Linked DNA regions of Rhinolophus ferrumequinum. The main gene of each other region encodes a partner of the protein of the gene in region 2 in a complex. Links are inferred from orthologs where the notes say so. Each region holds a gene or a part of one and is shown on either strand. Other genes may lie near its edges. The genes, in order: NME5 and DYDC2.

Region 1 (7,986 bases), on a different chromosome or scaffold from region 2:
CTGAATCAAGGATTTCCTTGGTTACTTTAAAATTAGATCAGGTAAAATTTCTTGGAATTTGGATGAAGAGTTTCACAAAGAGAAGCAATAACAGAAAGGAACAATTAGCTTGTAACAAAGTAAAGACTGCCACCTACTGAAAGGATATATCATTTTTCAGAAGGTTTTCCCTAGATGGGACAAGAAAGCCTCAAGTTCAATGGACTCCCAACTAAAATAAAGTCTACTTTAAAAGCATACTATACAAAGGACAAATATTATATGTTTCCACTTACATGAGATATCTGGAATACTCAAAATCATAGTGATAGAAAGAATACTGGTTACCAGGGGCTGGGAAGAGGGATAAACAGAGAGATAGTGTTTAATGGGTACAGAGTTTCAATCTGAGATGATGTAAAAGTTCTAGAAATGGATGGTGGTGATGGTTTCACAACTATGGGAATGTACTTAGTTCCACTGAACTCTACAACTAAAAATGGTTCAAATGGTTAAGCTGCATGTATTTTGCCACAATTAAAACCAAAAAAAAGCACACAATACAGCAAGGGCTTCTTGGTCTGAAATTCATTGCTCACTAGGTAAAATGCAAAATATTAGCATTTATATTAATTTTTCATTTATGATTAACACTACCACTTAATTAAGTTTGTTTGTCACTAATTCTTTTTAAAATATGGACTTTTAAAAAACATAAATAGTATATCTTTATCTTATTCATATACTTCATTTAATTTTTTTCTAAAATTAAGGAATAATACACTTATAGGGTTAAAAAGTTCAAAGCAATATAAAAAGATATGTGCTGAAAAATCTCATTCCCCTCCCTGTCCTAATGTACTGTTCTTGCTCTCAATAGGCAACCATTTTTTAATGCTTATTTATCCTAGTGTTTCATTTTGCAAATATTAGCAAACATGAATATATATTACTTTTTTTCTTTCTATCACAAAAGATTGCTACACATTACATTTGTTTTTCCATAACAGGGCACCAAAAGGTTCCTTATTCTTTTTACAGTTAGTTGCATAGTATTCAACTTGGTGTCTTTGCCAGAGTTGATTTAACCATTCTGCTAATACTGGACTGTTTTCAATCTTTTGCTGGTAAATAAACAATGCTGCAAAAAGTAACCTGTATATATGTCACTTGATATTAATACACAGATTATGGGTGGAATTCCCAGAAGTAGGACTGCTGGGTCTAAGGGTAAATAAATACATCTGTAATATTGATAAATAATTGTCAGGTTCCCTTCTATGGGGGTTGTGCCATTCACTTTTACATTTTTGCCATATACTGTAGTAGCTCAGTGTCACTTTAATTTGTTTTTTCCCCCACTTATTGAGAATCTTTTCATATTTTCAAGAAGCATCTGTTTTCTTTTTCTCTGATCCTCCGTATGTTCTGCCCATTTTCAACTGAATTTTTATCTTTTTCGAGTTCTTTATATATTAGGGAGATTAGCCCTCTGTCTGCAATATGAATTGCAAATCTTTTTTCTAAGTTTGTCATTTGTATTTTGACTTTGCTTATAGTTTTTATTTGGCCATGCAGAACTTTTTTAAATTTATAATCTTATTAATCTTTTCTTTCATATTTCCTAGACTAAGTCATAATAAAAAATGGCTGTCCATTCCAAGAGTAAAGAAACTCATCCATCTTTTCTTCTAGAATTTGTATGGTTTAATTTTTTAATATTTAAAATTCCAATCCATTTGAAGTTTATCCCGGTGTATACAGTATCATACTTGAATACAACTTTTTTTTTAATGGCTACCTAGTTTTCCTAACAACATTCATTAAAAAGTTCATTTTTACCTGGGTCTTTTAATTACTATATTAAATATTTTCTTATAATTTCCTGTACATCTTTCCTTACATTTTCTTGTACCATCCTTACCCTCAGCCTCCACCTATCCTAAATTCAACTAAAATCCCATCTTTCCTAAAGATTGAAGTTTTCTCTTTTTTATTTTTTAAAACACTGATTAAATAAGTAATATTACATAAGAGACTAAAAACTGAAATTTCAAATAAGGATGGTACAAAAAAGGAAGATTAAATATACTCAATTCTATTTGATAATCTTTATTCTTTTTACATTCATTTTCAAACCTCTAACAACTGCAGAGCAAGTGTAAGGCTTAAAACATTAAATGTTTGTAATAAAGGAAAAAAATCCAAAAGTCTTAAAGTCCATCCATAGAGGACCAAATAAACAAATTGTGATTCATCCACACAGGGGTATATGAAACAAAACTTAGGAAGAATGAGTTACATTCAGATGTAATAATCTGAAATTGCTATCTGAGGGACTTTGTAAACAGGATCAAAGGTGGGGCACTGTCCTATTTTATGGGGGAAAATGTCTGGGAATACATAGAAAAATCCTGGAAGAACAGAAAGTATTAAGTCGTTGCCTCTCTCTGGAGACTGGGATGTGGCGTGGGTGAGGACAGGTGGAGGGAAAAGGAATTTTACTTTGCATTTTATATACTTTTGAAGTGTGACAAAACTTAAATACTATCACATGTAACTTTTATAGTTAGAATAAACCTAAATTTAATGCTAAATTAATGCTAATACATAAACATTAAAAAAAAGGATCAATGAGAGAAAAGAACACAATGATCATGCCCAGAAGTTACCTGAACAATGGTGAATCCAGATCTGAGAATAATATCTTGTATCTCCTCCTCTTTGTCAACAATATCTGGTTTGATAATGGCCAGAGATTTTTCTACGTATATCTGAGGTGGGGGCATCGACAGCTCCATTGTGGGTTTTCAGGATATAATTTAAGAGTCTTGACAGGTATCAACTGCAATGATATGCAATCCCAACCTCAAATTTAATGTAATTATGATTAAGAACAGCATTGTTAGGCGCCTGATTTTATTAATTTATATAAACTTAGAAACTGCAATCTTTTTCTATAAGCAGTGTCTGAACACAGGCATACCTCGAAGACATTGCAGGTTGTCTTCGATCGCAGTAAAGCGAGTCGTTCTCTATTTGATGGTGGAGAGTCTTGCCTTCAGTTTGTAAAACACCCAATACCTGTGAATCGCCTAAAGCGCAATAAAATGAGGTATGACTGTAATACGATTTCTACTCTGCAGTTAAGCCGTGCCTTAGGCTTTCCTAAACATTTTCATCAAGGTGGAGAGGCCACAGGGCAATCCAAAGGCCTGGGACTCGCGCAGACTAAGGCAGCAGCTGGAGACCGGTTGGCAACTCTCCGCGATTCTCCAGCTGCAGGTTGAGCAGCCTCGCCCCACCCCGCCCCGCCTCGCCGGGACGGCTATGCATAGGGTCAGGTCTGGTTGGAAAGTAGCATCCCTAAGTCCCCGGACTTCTCCCGGCTGCACCCGCAGATTCCGAGTCCGACCTTCCGTCGTGTACTCACCTCAGCACTCACTCCTCAGGTGCGACCACAACTTATTGCTAGGAGACCCGAAGCCCAGCTGAGGGACGGTGGCTGCAGAGGGCCAATCCGAGCAGCGTCACTTCACAGCCTCTTACCGGTTCAATCATGAAAGGGAGCCAGCCACAGGTAGTTTTATCCCCCTTAAGAATCTTAGAGCACTAGGCGTTTTCTTACATTTTCCTCATAATTCATCCTATTTCACCCTCCTACTCATTTTAAGGCTGCTTCAATTATCTCCATTTTATAAACGATGAGACAAATCATAATCACCCCCTCCTCACCCCACCCCATCACTTTCCAGACAATGTAAGAAAACCCACGTCAAATAGCTTCATTTCACCAGATGATGCTATCCCCTCTATTCCCAGCTTCTGTAATCATTAAAAAGCAGTCTTCAACTTGTGGTATAACATTTATTTATAGAGCAGTAATAAGCGGTTTAAACTAGTTACCTCTAAATTAAGCCTATGGAACAAGATACGGGCAACATTTATGGTATAACCCCAAATCACAGCTTGCCCCTTTTCCCTTATATTTTGTCCACAGGTACCTTTGGTTGTGAGTTAAGGCCTTATTATTAGAAAAGACAACAGGGAAATGATAGACAAGTGCTGGGACCTTCTCTGGGTCAGAGTCTCAATGAGAGGTCCAAATTTCAGAAAGGGTCAGGGTAGCAGCTCCAGGTTAACCAAACAGGTTTTCCATCACGCACTGGGTTGGCTGATTCTCATTCTGGACTATTTAAGTCTCTTCTTTTGACTAACCAAGTACTCAGCACCTATAGGGTCAAGGCAGAAGCAAACTATGAGGCTTAAAAGCTACAGAGGTTTGAATGCAATTTTATTTTTCTGCAATGAGATCTGACTACGTTTTTTCCTTAAAAATATGATGCTACCCAGAAAAGAAACCTTCAGATGTTTTCTGATTACTGTGTCTTATCCCCGTATCGATGGGACAGTGTGAACATACATTAATATCAACAGGTGTAGCAACCAAAAAATGGACAGTGACTCCAGCCTCTGGTTTGCATGTTTAGCACTCTGGCTTGAGGCTCTGGAAGCAGGAGCTCCCATTACCATTACAGCCCTCTTCAGAGCTCTTCAGCTGCCTGCCTTCCTAGACTACTTTGCTTCACTATTAAGGCTGGTCCTACTGAGGCTCCAGGTTTTCCAAACCAGTACGTACAAGGTCAGTCCTTCAGGGCCTTGAATCACCTCTAAATATAAAATCTGGAAACACTTCAACATCACCCTTATTCTCACTTTCTAAATCAGGTTCCAGAGATTACACTCCTTTTTCAGGCAACTCTCTACATACAGTACCTGAATCTGCTCCAAGACTTCTCGCTGCATCTCCACAGCCATATGGTACACATGATGATCAGAGTCATTGTACATCACAGCATTTTGGAACATCAGCATCAGGTCCCGCTGGAACTGTGCCATGGTGCGAATCCGTCCCTTAGACAGATTCCTTTTCAGGGTCGTTAAGTCCATGGGTCTACAGGTGGCCAAGAGAAACCAGAGGAAATCAAACCTTCATGTAGAACATGTGGTAACCTAATATGCTGTCTTGGAGAACTAGCTCTTAATGAAAACAATCCCCAACAGTTAATATAAAAAGCAACAGCTTTTTTAAAAAAATATCATTGGACTGCTACTACTTACAATAGGCCAAGCACTATGTTAGGTAACTTTCTATATTAACTCCCATAAACCTCCCAATTAACCCATAAAACAGGTACCATTATTATCACCAATTGGCAGTGAGGGAACCGAGATCTAAAGAGGGTAAGTACTTGCTCAAGGTCACACAGCTTGGATTCCAATTCAAAGGCAGCCTGACTCCAAAATCCACAGGCCCAGCCATTGCATTCTACTACTGCAGGAGTAGTGGTGACCCCAGGTACTAAATTTGTAAAGAACTCCAACGATCAGTTTGTCATATGGTAGTTAACAACTGTTTACAATGTATAGCCATATACTAGGCATTAACATACTTCTCTTATTGCATAATCAAAAGCTAATAAGTTTTTTCTCCTTTCATGGAGATGAAGAGTGAGAATCAAGCAAATATTAAGACAATTTTTTTTTTTAAGATTTTATTGGGGAAGGGGAACAGGACTTTATTGGGGAACAGTGTGTACTTCCAGGACTTTTTTCCAAATCCAGTTGTTGTCCTTTCAATCTTAGTTGTGGAGGGTGCCGTTCAGCTTCAAGTTGTTGTCCTTTCAGACTTAGTTGTGGAGGGCGCAGCTCAGCCCCAGGTCCAGTTGCCGTTTCTAGTTGCAGGGGGCACAGCCCACCATCCCTTGGGGGAGTCGAACCGGCAACTTTGTGGTTGAGAGGAAGAGCTCCAACCAACTGAGCCATCTGGGAGCTCAGCAGCAGCTCACAGCTCAAGGTGCTGTGTTCAATTTTAGTTGCAGGGGGCGCTGACCACCATTCCTTGCGGAAGTTGAGGAATCAAACTGCCAACCTTGTGGTTGAGAGGATGCGCTCCAACTGAGCCATCCGGGAGGCAGCTCAGCTCAAGGTGCCATGTTCAATCTTAGTTGCAGGGGGCGCTGCCCACCATCCCTTGCGGGAATCGAGGAATTGAACTGGCAACCTTGTGGTTGAGAGCCCACTGGCCCATGTGGGAATCGAACCGGCAGCCTTCGGCGTTAGGAGCATGGAGCTCTAACCGCCTGAGCCACCGGGCCAGCCCTTAGTTTTTTCCTAAGTAGCAGGCAATTTCTTTTATTTTTTTTCAAGGAGGGCACAACTCACAGTGACCCATGCAGGGATCGAACCAGCAACCTCGGTGCAACCAGCACCACGCTCTAACTAACTGAGCTACCTAGCCACTCCAAGACAAATTATTAATGAGACCCAGACAGTGGGTATATAAGGGAAGGCACAGCAGTGTAGAAAGAGAACTGAATGGGGAGGTAAGAATCTGGGGGTCAGTTCCAGCTCTGCTAGGCACTGTTATCACAGACAAGTCATCATCACCTCTGAGCTTTAGTTTCCTCGTCTATAGAACAAGTCTGTCTCCAAACGTCTTTTCCTGACCTTTTATACAGTAACACACTGGTTTGTGACAGTATTTTAGATGAAATATGCTATAAAAATAAAAAATACTGCAATCAACCAATGTTGGTCACATCATTTGGATTATCATCTTTGCCTTAGCATATGAGTACCTATAACGACCAGAATGAATACAGCGTTCCTTTTAAAGTTTTGCTCCAAAAAACAGTGTCAAAAACTACCAAAGGCTAAGATTATAATGGATCACATTACTTAAAAATCAACACTGGGAAAAAAAGAGCCTGCATTATCCTTGTGTTCCCTGCATTCCTTCTCAAAAGCAGACTGAACACACCATAACTTTGCAAACTTGTTCAGCTGTAAAATACATCTTGAGTTTGTAAGTAATGTAAATGAAATAAGAAATAATCTAATATATGGGAAATAAAGTACAAAAAGACAGATATAAAAGCAAGAAGCCTTTCTTGACCCCTTTTCCACTGACCTTTTCACCACATCCTTGTATCCTGGGGCCTGCCTTTCTGACACAGGCTTCAGAAATGGACCACTGAACCTGTTAGGGGACAAACCCAGAATGTAAGAAGAAACCCTGGAAAGTCACTCTGAATAAGAAGAGTGGCTGTGAACACGAAGAATGGCTTGGAGACCTACCTGTGACTGGCAATCATCTTCCAGACTGACAGGACAGTCTTCTTAAATAGCAAGTGATCCTGAACAGGATCGCTCTGGCTTAAATCAGACCTATGGGATAACACGACAGAAAAGAAACAGTAACTTCGCAAAGGGCATTCTGCCTCCCCCAGGTGGACATGAGGCTTTCTCAAGACACACTGCTCCTAATTAACATCTGAAGGAAATGTAATACCGTAAGAATATGAAGATATTTAATGCTTCCATAAGGGACCCCAAACTCTATAAGTGTTCTCTTACTGATCACTATAACCCAATGAAGTGGTTACCTTTTATAAAATGTATTACAAATCTACAATTGCCTGGGCCTTTTGATCTCTTGCTGATTTTGCTCTTCAGCACCTGTGACTCTAAAGAACTGGTCTATGAAAGTAGTCTTTGTTCACTGATGTTTCCCAACTGCCTGGCACATAGTAGAAGCTCAATTAAGTTTTTGATAAATGAATCTGGTCCTGTTTTATGCAGAAATATGCCACATTAATAAGTATCTCTCTCACCCATATTTCCAGAGAAGGAAATATTTGATTACAGATTCCAAGGAATTCTCTTACGTTTCATCTGAATGCCACACAATTAAATATTTTTCCTTTTCGTTCTCCTCTGTATAGTAATCTTTAAAACACCTAAGTCATTTATCTTCATGGCACTTCCTTCTCTGGGCTAAACTGTCGAATTTAGTTCGTTTTTCTTCAGACATGCAATTGTTCAATATTTTATTTCATTTTGTAATTTTCCCAGTTGGCAAGTTTTCTATTTACTTCAAAGTTAAACATGAGGTTACACTTCCCACTTTATCCACTGTACTATTTTTTCTAAATGAGTTCTCTT
Region 2 (8,408 bases):
AAACAGACATGCTCCAGCAAAGCATAAAACAAAAATCTGATAGGATCAAGATAACTCAGCAATAATTTAACTGCTTGCCAGAACAAAACTCAACACCTGTTAAAGGAAAACACAATCTAGACTCCTACAAAGTATCATCTACAATATTCAACATCCACATAATAATTACTAGACATGTGACGAAGTAGGAAAATGTGAACCATAATCTAGAAAGCACTTAATAGAAAGAGACCCCAAAATGACAAAGATGATGGAATTAGCAGACAAAGACTTAAAACAGCTATTACAAATACTTTCAAAAGTTTAAAGGAGAAAAATGAACATAATGAGTGAAAAGAAAGGGTATATCAGTAGAAAAAAATTGGAAATAGAAATTTTAGAATTGAAAAGTACAGTATCCAAAATGAAAAAAAATTCACCAAATCTCTAAATAGGGCATCAGACATTGCAGAAGAAAGGGTCAGTAAACTTGAAGACAGATCAATAGAAATCATCCAAACTGAGGTACAGAGGGAAAAAGATTGAAAAATAAACATCGTCTCAGTGACCTATGAAGCAATAACAAGCAGTCTAATGTCCATGCAATTTCAGTCCCCGGTTGAGGTTGGAATCCTTTGAGCTTAAACTCTACTGGACACCTACCTCTACCTCCCTCTTTGCCCAGAAGCCCCAGGAGAGCATTCTGCAGTGGACCCCGTGGGGCACTGCCGAGAGGTCTGTGAAGATTACCCACATAACCTCTAAGACCCCTCTAACTTCAAGTGCTGTGAGTCTATGCAGCATATATGTGTGCTAATTCTATAAAAATGTATTTCTAAAACATTTATATGGCTCAGATCTTTATAAACAAAGGGATTGCTTTCAGATTTAGAAACAGAATTATGGTTTACTTGCTCAAATCTGCCTCTGCTTAATGTAGAGAAACCAAGACAAGGGCCACTTACGCCAGCTTTCTTCGAGGTCTGACTCACAGGTCACCTCCTCTGTGAATCCCTTTTTGATTGCTATAATTGGATATGACCTCTACCAAACATAGTGCTCATTTCTACTCCTCTTTCGACATATCCACTGGACCAGTAGTATTCAATCTGGGCGACTCGAAGACTTTGTAAGGTATATGCAAGCAATGGTGGTTCGAAGATATTTTTTAAAATCTTGTAAAGCTTTGACTATGTGCATATAGGCCCGTCAGCGAAATCAAGTCTGCTGAAATCTTCTGCAACCCATCCTGGGCCTGTTTAAGACCAGGTTTTATAGCACTAGTGACACAGAATCTGAAGGTGATCAATAGCAAGGAATAGTTTGCAATTCACTTTTAGCCACCAAGAAACCAGAACTTAGAATCTTGTCTAACTGGATGTACCTCCACCTCTTGGCCCTTTATCCAGCTTTCCGTTTATACTAGCACAGTAACTTGCACTTAAGTGACACGGCTCTCCCTGGCCAAGTAAGCAATAAATTCAGCTTTGTTTTAGATCACTGTTGGGTTCTAGTTCCCTCTAACAAAGGGAATCATAACCACAACTCGGACATGAACTCTTTCTTAAAATTGAGCACTTGCACACGGTGCAGGCATCACGCTGACTCTCATTTTCCATCTTCCCTTACAACTGACGTTGTCTCACACTTGGACAAAGAACAGCATACATTTTACTCGTGTGATTCTTGCTAAGGAACATTGCCAGAGGACATAAAACCTCTTGAGTGTGCAACACAAAGGGACAATTCAAAAATATTGATGTGAACAAAGCTTTCTTTAATAAGGGCACCAGAAAACCAGGGTGGGGTTTTGGGAGTCTTTCCCTGCCTTATATATTTCTATTTCTATTAACAGTACAGTATGTTGTCAGAAAAGGATTTGAGTGGGCAGCAACGTGATGCCAAGTTTTGCCTAATGATCTCACCTCTACCCTCTCCCAACAACTATTCTAAGAACATTCCGAAGGGAGGGCTCACTTAGACTACTGTCTAACAATAGTATGAAACAATCTTTGTTTTGATTTATTTATAAAACATCCAGACTTAAAAAAATCTATTACTTGTTTATGAGGAAAGCTGAGCATATTTGTATACATGTAAATAAGCTTAATATTTTCATGTCTCATCAAAGTGGGCTTTGGAAACTAGCAAAAGCTAGTTAATTGTATAAAACTGCATTAAAGATTTTAATGCATGGGATATAGTGATAGTTATAAAGATGTCAGATATCAAGCCCAGTAAGTCAATTCCCTATCCAGATAGCACGTCCTTTGTAGGAAACGCAAAACGATTCCTTTATCAGAAGATTGTGGCAAAAATTACGGGATAGGAAACGTATGCCTGTCAGACCAATGAATGCTCAGTTGTCTCCAACTATTCCAAGTTAATAATTTATGACCACTATTACAGCATCACTGAGGTGGCATCTATGGCTTGATGCATAAATAAACAGCATATAATAAATAAGTAAGTAGTATATAATAAATAAAATAATATACCTGAAGTATATACTTATAACCATATTTGGTTTCTGAAAAATATTGAATAATTTTTGTAAAGGGCTCAAAGGATCTTGTATAAAAATATATTTGTTCCAAGTGACAGATTAGATTATTTGTAAATCTGATTTGCTTTAAACCAGTAACATCACAGGTATTTCCTAAACTCTAAAATGGAATTGCCTTTAAACATTTTCTTTTTCATTGACAATGATCTTATTGGCAAAGATTGTCATGTCGTGTCAATAAGATTGGCTTATATAGAAACATATGAACATGGAGGAAAAAGTAGGCTAATGGGGGCCTCAGTGTGTTTCGCATGGTGATCAGGGTGACGGTGGACTACCTAGAATCCATCACTGGGATGTGTGTGCTAGGTTTCTTCTCCTACCTGTGACACTTCACACTTCTGTTGAATCTGGCACTCTTCTTGCTTCAGCATTTCTGCCATTTGGGTTTCCTTGAGTCTACTGTCATCCTCTTCCTTCAGCTGGATCTTCTCTTGTCTATCCTGGGGAGATGTGACAAAGCTGAATCAGAAGCATGTACAAAGGGGCCCTCTCACTGGGACTGGCCTCAGGCCCATCAGGCTTCCTGAGTCTGCTTTTGTAACTAGCTTTAGCCTGCTAGTAGCTCCAAACCCACAAATTCTGTCACTCCTGTGAGCTGGATTCCTTCTTTAGCCTCTCCCAGGCTTCCTGCCCTTCTAGCATATCAGGGCCTAAGTTACCCTCACAAGCTGAATAAATCAAGAAACTCCCCAGGACAGCTCCAGAATCCTGCCTTGGATTTCAAATTACTCTGGCAAAGCTGGAAAGCCCTCCCCTAACCCACCCAGTGCGCATACACACCTACCTTTTCTTTCGCTTTAGTGATTTCCCTGTAATGATAAAGCCAGTGAGCCAGGTACTCTATGGGGTCACTGGGCCGAACCTTCGCCACCTCTGCTAGTCCCTGGGCCAGGCAATTTCCAAAGCACCTCTTCAGGTAGTCAGTTTCCATCCTGTGGGCTTGGGACATATCCAAACAGAGTCACACTATTTTACAAATCTAATTTGATTTTAAAAATAAACACATTCCATGAGACGTTTCTGGATCCCACCCTTCCCCAAAGAGTAAATAAATACAAACACACCACTAGCTCTTACACTCAAGTGGACTTTCTTCTAAAGCTGTGCAGCTGTCCTAGCAGAGCCCGTGACCAGCAGCAGCTACAATGCCCAGCATTTGCCATCCCTCTCCTCCCCAGGGCTTCTCAGTGGTCCCTTGTGAAATAAGTAAGCCTAGCTCACCTATGTCATAGAGACTGCAGCTCCCGACCTCACAAGAGCACAGCTTGCTGGGTGCTCAGAGCCCCTCTGGGACCTGTGCCTTCTCAGCTATTTCCTCTCCACTCAAGGGGAGAAATTATCCTAGGTCAGATAGTAATAGGTCCTAGGGGTCATCAGGCCTGACAGGAGCTTCACAGATTGGTGGTTCACGGTGGCTAAGGCCTCCACTTACCCACACATTTCTACCCTTGAGTGGAGAGGAAATAACTGAGAAGGCATGAGTCCTGAAGGGGCTGAGCACCCAGCAAGCTGTGCTCTTGTGAGGTCAGGAGCTATAGTCATCTGTGACCTAGATAAGATGGGCTTATTTATTTCACAAGGGACCACTGAGAAGCCCTGGGGAGGAGAGGGATGGCAAATGCTGGGCATTGTAGCTGCTGCTGGTCCGGGGCTCTGCCAGCACTAAACACCATATTCTACTCTACTGCTTAAGCAAGGAACTACTTTAGGTTGAGCTGATTCACTATTATTCAGATTTCAAGAGCTGGAGGCAGTGTAGCCTGCGTTAGACCACAGTGAGGAGAGGCAGTGTAGTGCAGCAGTATGAATACAGACTCTGGGATCAGACAGACCAAGTTCCTGCTTCTGCCATTTAATTAGCTGTGTGATCTTCAGCAAGTCACCAGCTCCTGTGAGCCTTGGTTTTCTCATCTGGAGAACAGAAGAACGAAAGTATGTGCCTCGTAATTATGAGGATTAAAGGAAATAATAAATGCATCTAAAGCACTTAGCCTGGCATATAGTAAGTGCTTAATAAATATTAGCTATTACAGTGGAATATTGTGATATGAAATGCCCTAAAATCTGGCCTATTCCTCACCAACCCCATGTTCCTGAAGTTTACATATCTTACCTCCAAAAGAGCTAATGATAAAGTGACTAATTAAGTCTCAGATCCAATCTGTAAGGGTGAAATTTAGGGAATCAATAATGTAGTTAAACTTAGCTAGTTTGCAGTTTAACTTACCGCATAGCTCACTATCCAGCCACCTGTAATTACACTTACTTTGTTTGCAGTTTGATCCATCCTGATATTCAGCTGTTTTCTCCTTGTTTCTCCCCTCACTGATTAGCTGAAGAACTCTGATTGTTCCCTTTCTCAAGGCTACCCATACCTCCTTAATCCATTTAATCAACAGAATCCCAACCTGGAAAGGGCAATTTCTTAATCCTCAGGTGCCCGGACACCGGAATCCAATTGACAACTCCCTCGCAGTTTTTACTGGTGACGCATTCAAGTCCCAGGCCTCGATGGCCGCGTCCCAGTCCGGAGATAACATTGTCTTCAAACAGACCAGACCCCAGGAAGGATGTCAGCCCTCGAACCTGCCTAACCGACTTCCCCTTTCCTATATAAGAAAAAGCTAACCTGAAGTTAGGAGCAGCTGCCCACTCTCAGATTCTAGACTCTGCCCCATGACACACACCCCACCTCCACCGCCACCACGCTGGTGTTTCTCTTCTGACAACCTGTGGCAGCAATCATTTTTGGACACTGCCATGGGCATTCTCTCTGTGCCCTAACTTCAATAAAAACTTCCTTTGTAGTAGAGTCTGTGAATGCTTTCACGTTTTGTGAATGCCCAGGGGTTAATTACACGCCACGACACAATCAACATTTTCCGGAGGCATTTTTCAGTTTAAAGAAGGAAAGCTAGATAGATAGATGATTGATAGATAGATATGAGTATAGAAAAATATATATATTTCCTAGCTCTTCCCATCGCAAAGTCCTAGAAGCAAAAACACCTCAGTAAGCAGCAAGCACACTAAGCATTCAGAACTTCTCCTTAAATAGCTGTCACCACTTAAAAGAGAAATCAGGACTCCTTGGAGTAAAATAAGAATTCATGAATCCACATAAGAATAAATAATTTCGTAATGTGATATACAGTAAGTTCTTTCTTAAAGTAGAATGCCAACTAATAAATGTGGAAAGAATAATGGAGTTTTTTTTTAAAAAATCACCATACTGTAACCACCATAGTATAACTGAATCAAGCCAGAATTATCTGTGAAGACTAAAACTCAGACAACATTTGACAAGGGATAGGATATTTATATAATCTCGAAGTTTCTCCCCTACAAATTATGTATTACTTTCCAAGGGAAATACAGAAACTTTACAGTGATAGAACCTGGTCACCACAACTTTAACCAGAGGATCAAAGTAAACATCCCCAATAAGGGGCAAAGTGACATAGTGTGTCTCCTGATGTGATACACTTCTTAGTGGGACATAATACACTTCTGTGGATTCCTGCCCCCAATGCAAAACTTGAATCTGATTGAGGAAACATCAAATAAAGTCAAATTGAGAGACAGTATACAACTGACCTGTACTCTTAAAAATGCCAAGGTCATGAAAGACAAGAGGAGGAGCCATTCCAGATTAAAGGAGCCTAAATAGGCATGCAATACATGATCCTTGATTGGATCTGGACCAGGAAAAAAAAAGAAAATTCCATAATGGACAGTGTTAGGAAAATTGGATAAACTGAACATGAATTGTAGACCACATAATAGAATTAAATCAAAGTCAAATTTCCTGGTTTTGGTAATTGAAATATGAGTAAGAAAATGTCCTTCATTTAAGGAAATACACAGTATAACAGGGATGAAAAATGGCTCACAAAAGTGTCTAAGTCCTAATACCTGGAACTTGTAATGTATGTTACCCTATATGGAAGGACTTCGCAGATGTGATTCAATTAAGAATTTTGATTTAGGGAGATTATCTGAATTATCCAGGCAGGCCCAATGTAATGACAAGGGTCTTTATAAGAGGGACACAGTAAGATCAGACAGAGAAGGAGATGTGATGACAGAACAGAGGGAGAAAAGGTGATGTGATTCGGAGCCATGAGCCAAGGAATGTAGGTAGCCTCTAGAAGCTGGAAAAGGCGAGGAAATGGATTCTCCTCTAGAGCTTCTAGAAGGAACGAGCCCTGCCAATACTTGGTTTTAGCGCTGTAAGACTCATTTTAGATTTCTGACTTCAAAAACTTTAAAAGAATAAACGTGTACTTGAAGTCACTAAGTTTGGGGTATAGGGATTCAGAATGAGTCACCCCAAGATGTGCCTCTATGGCACGCAGATTGTTTTGAGCTGAAGGCAACCTGTGGGCTCAAGAGAAACTTCTGCCCTTCCCACTTAACTACCTAGAACTTGAATTAGGGGCCTTGCCCATAATAAGAGATTATCAGAGATAACATTTTTTGACCAATCGGTAGGGCAGGGAAAACTTCTAATTACTGAAAATCTCTTCATCTGTCTCATCTCTAATTGATTATTAGACCAGCTGAAAAAACCCTGAGCGTAGAGGAAAGTTTCCTCCTCTCCCACAGGGATAGTGGTGAAGTTGGAGACAGGGGTATATGTTGTCTCTTTCTGCTAATCTGTGGTCCACCTGAACCAATGCACTTGGATAAACTACCTTCTACATCCCCTGGGGGCTTGCATCACCTGGGGGCTTGCTGAAATGCAGATTTTCAAGGTCCATACCAGGCCTAATGATTCAGTCTACAGTTTAACAAAATCCCCAGGTGATTCGAAGTCACAAGTCTACTTTGCCTTTATCATTGTAGAACTGCCCTTCCCAGAGAGTCGAATTATCAATTTTGCATTCCCAGGAAGCCTCTCTACTTCCAGTCCTTGGGTGGCTGTCACCCTTTCTGGAGGAAGCATCTGCTCCAAATTGCACATTTTCAACAATGGTCTCAATGAAATATGTTGATCTGACAGTTACTAAGACTTGATGCAAAGACAGCAGAGCCACAATAACAGTGCCACAATGTAAGGCCTGGAGAGGGAGGGGGCAAAGGGGACTTTTACAGCCCACTCCCGACCAACTCCGGGCACACTCACCAAGCGGGAGGGGGCTATATTTTGGAGTCTCCCAGAGCTCTTCAGAGGGTCTGAAGGGTCCCCTTGCCCATGGCCTTGCACACAGTAGGCAGAGCAATAAGCATGGAGAGTATCTTTGTTCACACTCTATTCCCAGTGCTAGGCACACAGTGTGTGCTCAGTAAATACTTCTTCATCTGCCAGGGCTCTGATGCTTGTGAGCCCACCCAGACAAGCTGTCATGCAGGGTGTCAGGCGGAGTCTCTGGTCCTGCTCCCCACATAAGAACACAGGAAATGGTGAGGCCAAAAAGGAACACCCACAGAGCCATAGATAGGGGAGTCATACCATTATATTCTCGCTGGTGGCTGGGTTGGAGACACAGGAAACAGGATCCACACGACCTGCAACCTGCTGTCCGCTTCTCTGTCAACCAACCAACCCCACTTGCTAGCTGCACTCCACCGTGCTAACTGCAATCCACTCTGACTAGCTCAGCCACCATCCTCTTGCTAGCCTCCATTTGCTGCTAGCGTAGCCACAGCAGTTATATTAGTGGCCAATGGCTCACTGGTTACAGCTGACGGCCAACTAGCCACAGCTGATGGCCATCCAATCGCAGTTGATGGCCATTTGCTAGCTGAGCCAGCACCTTTCCACGTGACGCGGAGAGCCTGGAAACTGCACTCCTGGCTCTGTCCCCACACAAGCTCATGGTCCCTTCAGTCAGTGCCCACTCTGGCACTTCCAGCG

Evidence for each region.
Region 1: the proteins of DYDC2 (region 2) and NME5 are in contact, whole or in part, in a cryo-EM structure (PDB 8X2U), measured with the Mus musculus proteins. The link is inferred for Rhinolophus ferrumequinum from reciprocal best matches to the Homo sapiens genes DYDC2 and NME5. Residues at the interface, in NP_001347537.1 of Mus musculus: Asp2, Tyr5, Leu6, Cys9, Phe10, Gly13, Leu14, Leu18, Val21, Ala22, Arg23, Val24, Arg25, Pro26, Asp28, Pro29, Ile30, Glu31, Leu33, Ala34, His35, Leu37, Tyr38, Tyr40, Arg41; in NP_542368.2 of Mus musculus: Arg140, Ala145, Val146, Ile147, Ile151, Pro152, Ala156, Ala157, Tyr160, Ile161, Tyr164, Val165, Thr168, Leu169, Leu173, Leu176, Cys177, Lys180, Pro181, Asp183, Pro184, Tyr185, Leu186, Leu188, Ala189, Asp190, Leu192, Met193, Asn196, Pro197.

Annotation. Positions count from the first base shown.
Region 1 is NC_046307.1:13,294,880-13,302,865, forward strand, and holds the start of NME5 (nucleoside diphosphate kinase homolog 5), read right to left. Parts: upstream 3,470-7,986; 5' UTR 3,413-3,469; intron 3,406-3,412; exon of another isoform or gene 2,966-3,405; intron 2,825-2,965; 5' UTR 2,781-2,824; coding exon 2,652-2,780; intron 285-2,651; coding exon 276-284; intron 1-275. Other genes in the region: bromodomain-containing protein 8-like, read right to left, coding at 4,161-4,211, 4,756-4,933, 6,953-7,021, 7,120-7,209. UniProt on the Homo sapiens protein: Functions as part of axonemal radial spoke complexes that play an important part in the motility of sperm and cilia. Does not seem to have nucleoside diphosphate kinase (NDPK) activity.
Region 2 is NC_046299.1:56,293,046-56,301,453, reverse strand, and holds the start of DYDC2 (DPY30 domain-containing protein 2), read right to left. Parts: upstream 3,487-8,408; 5' UTR 3,480-3,486; coding exon 3,333-3,479; intron 2,989-3,332; coding exon 2,869-2,988; intron 1-2,868.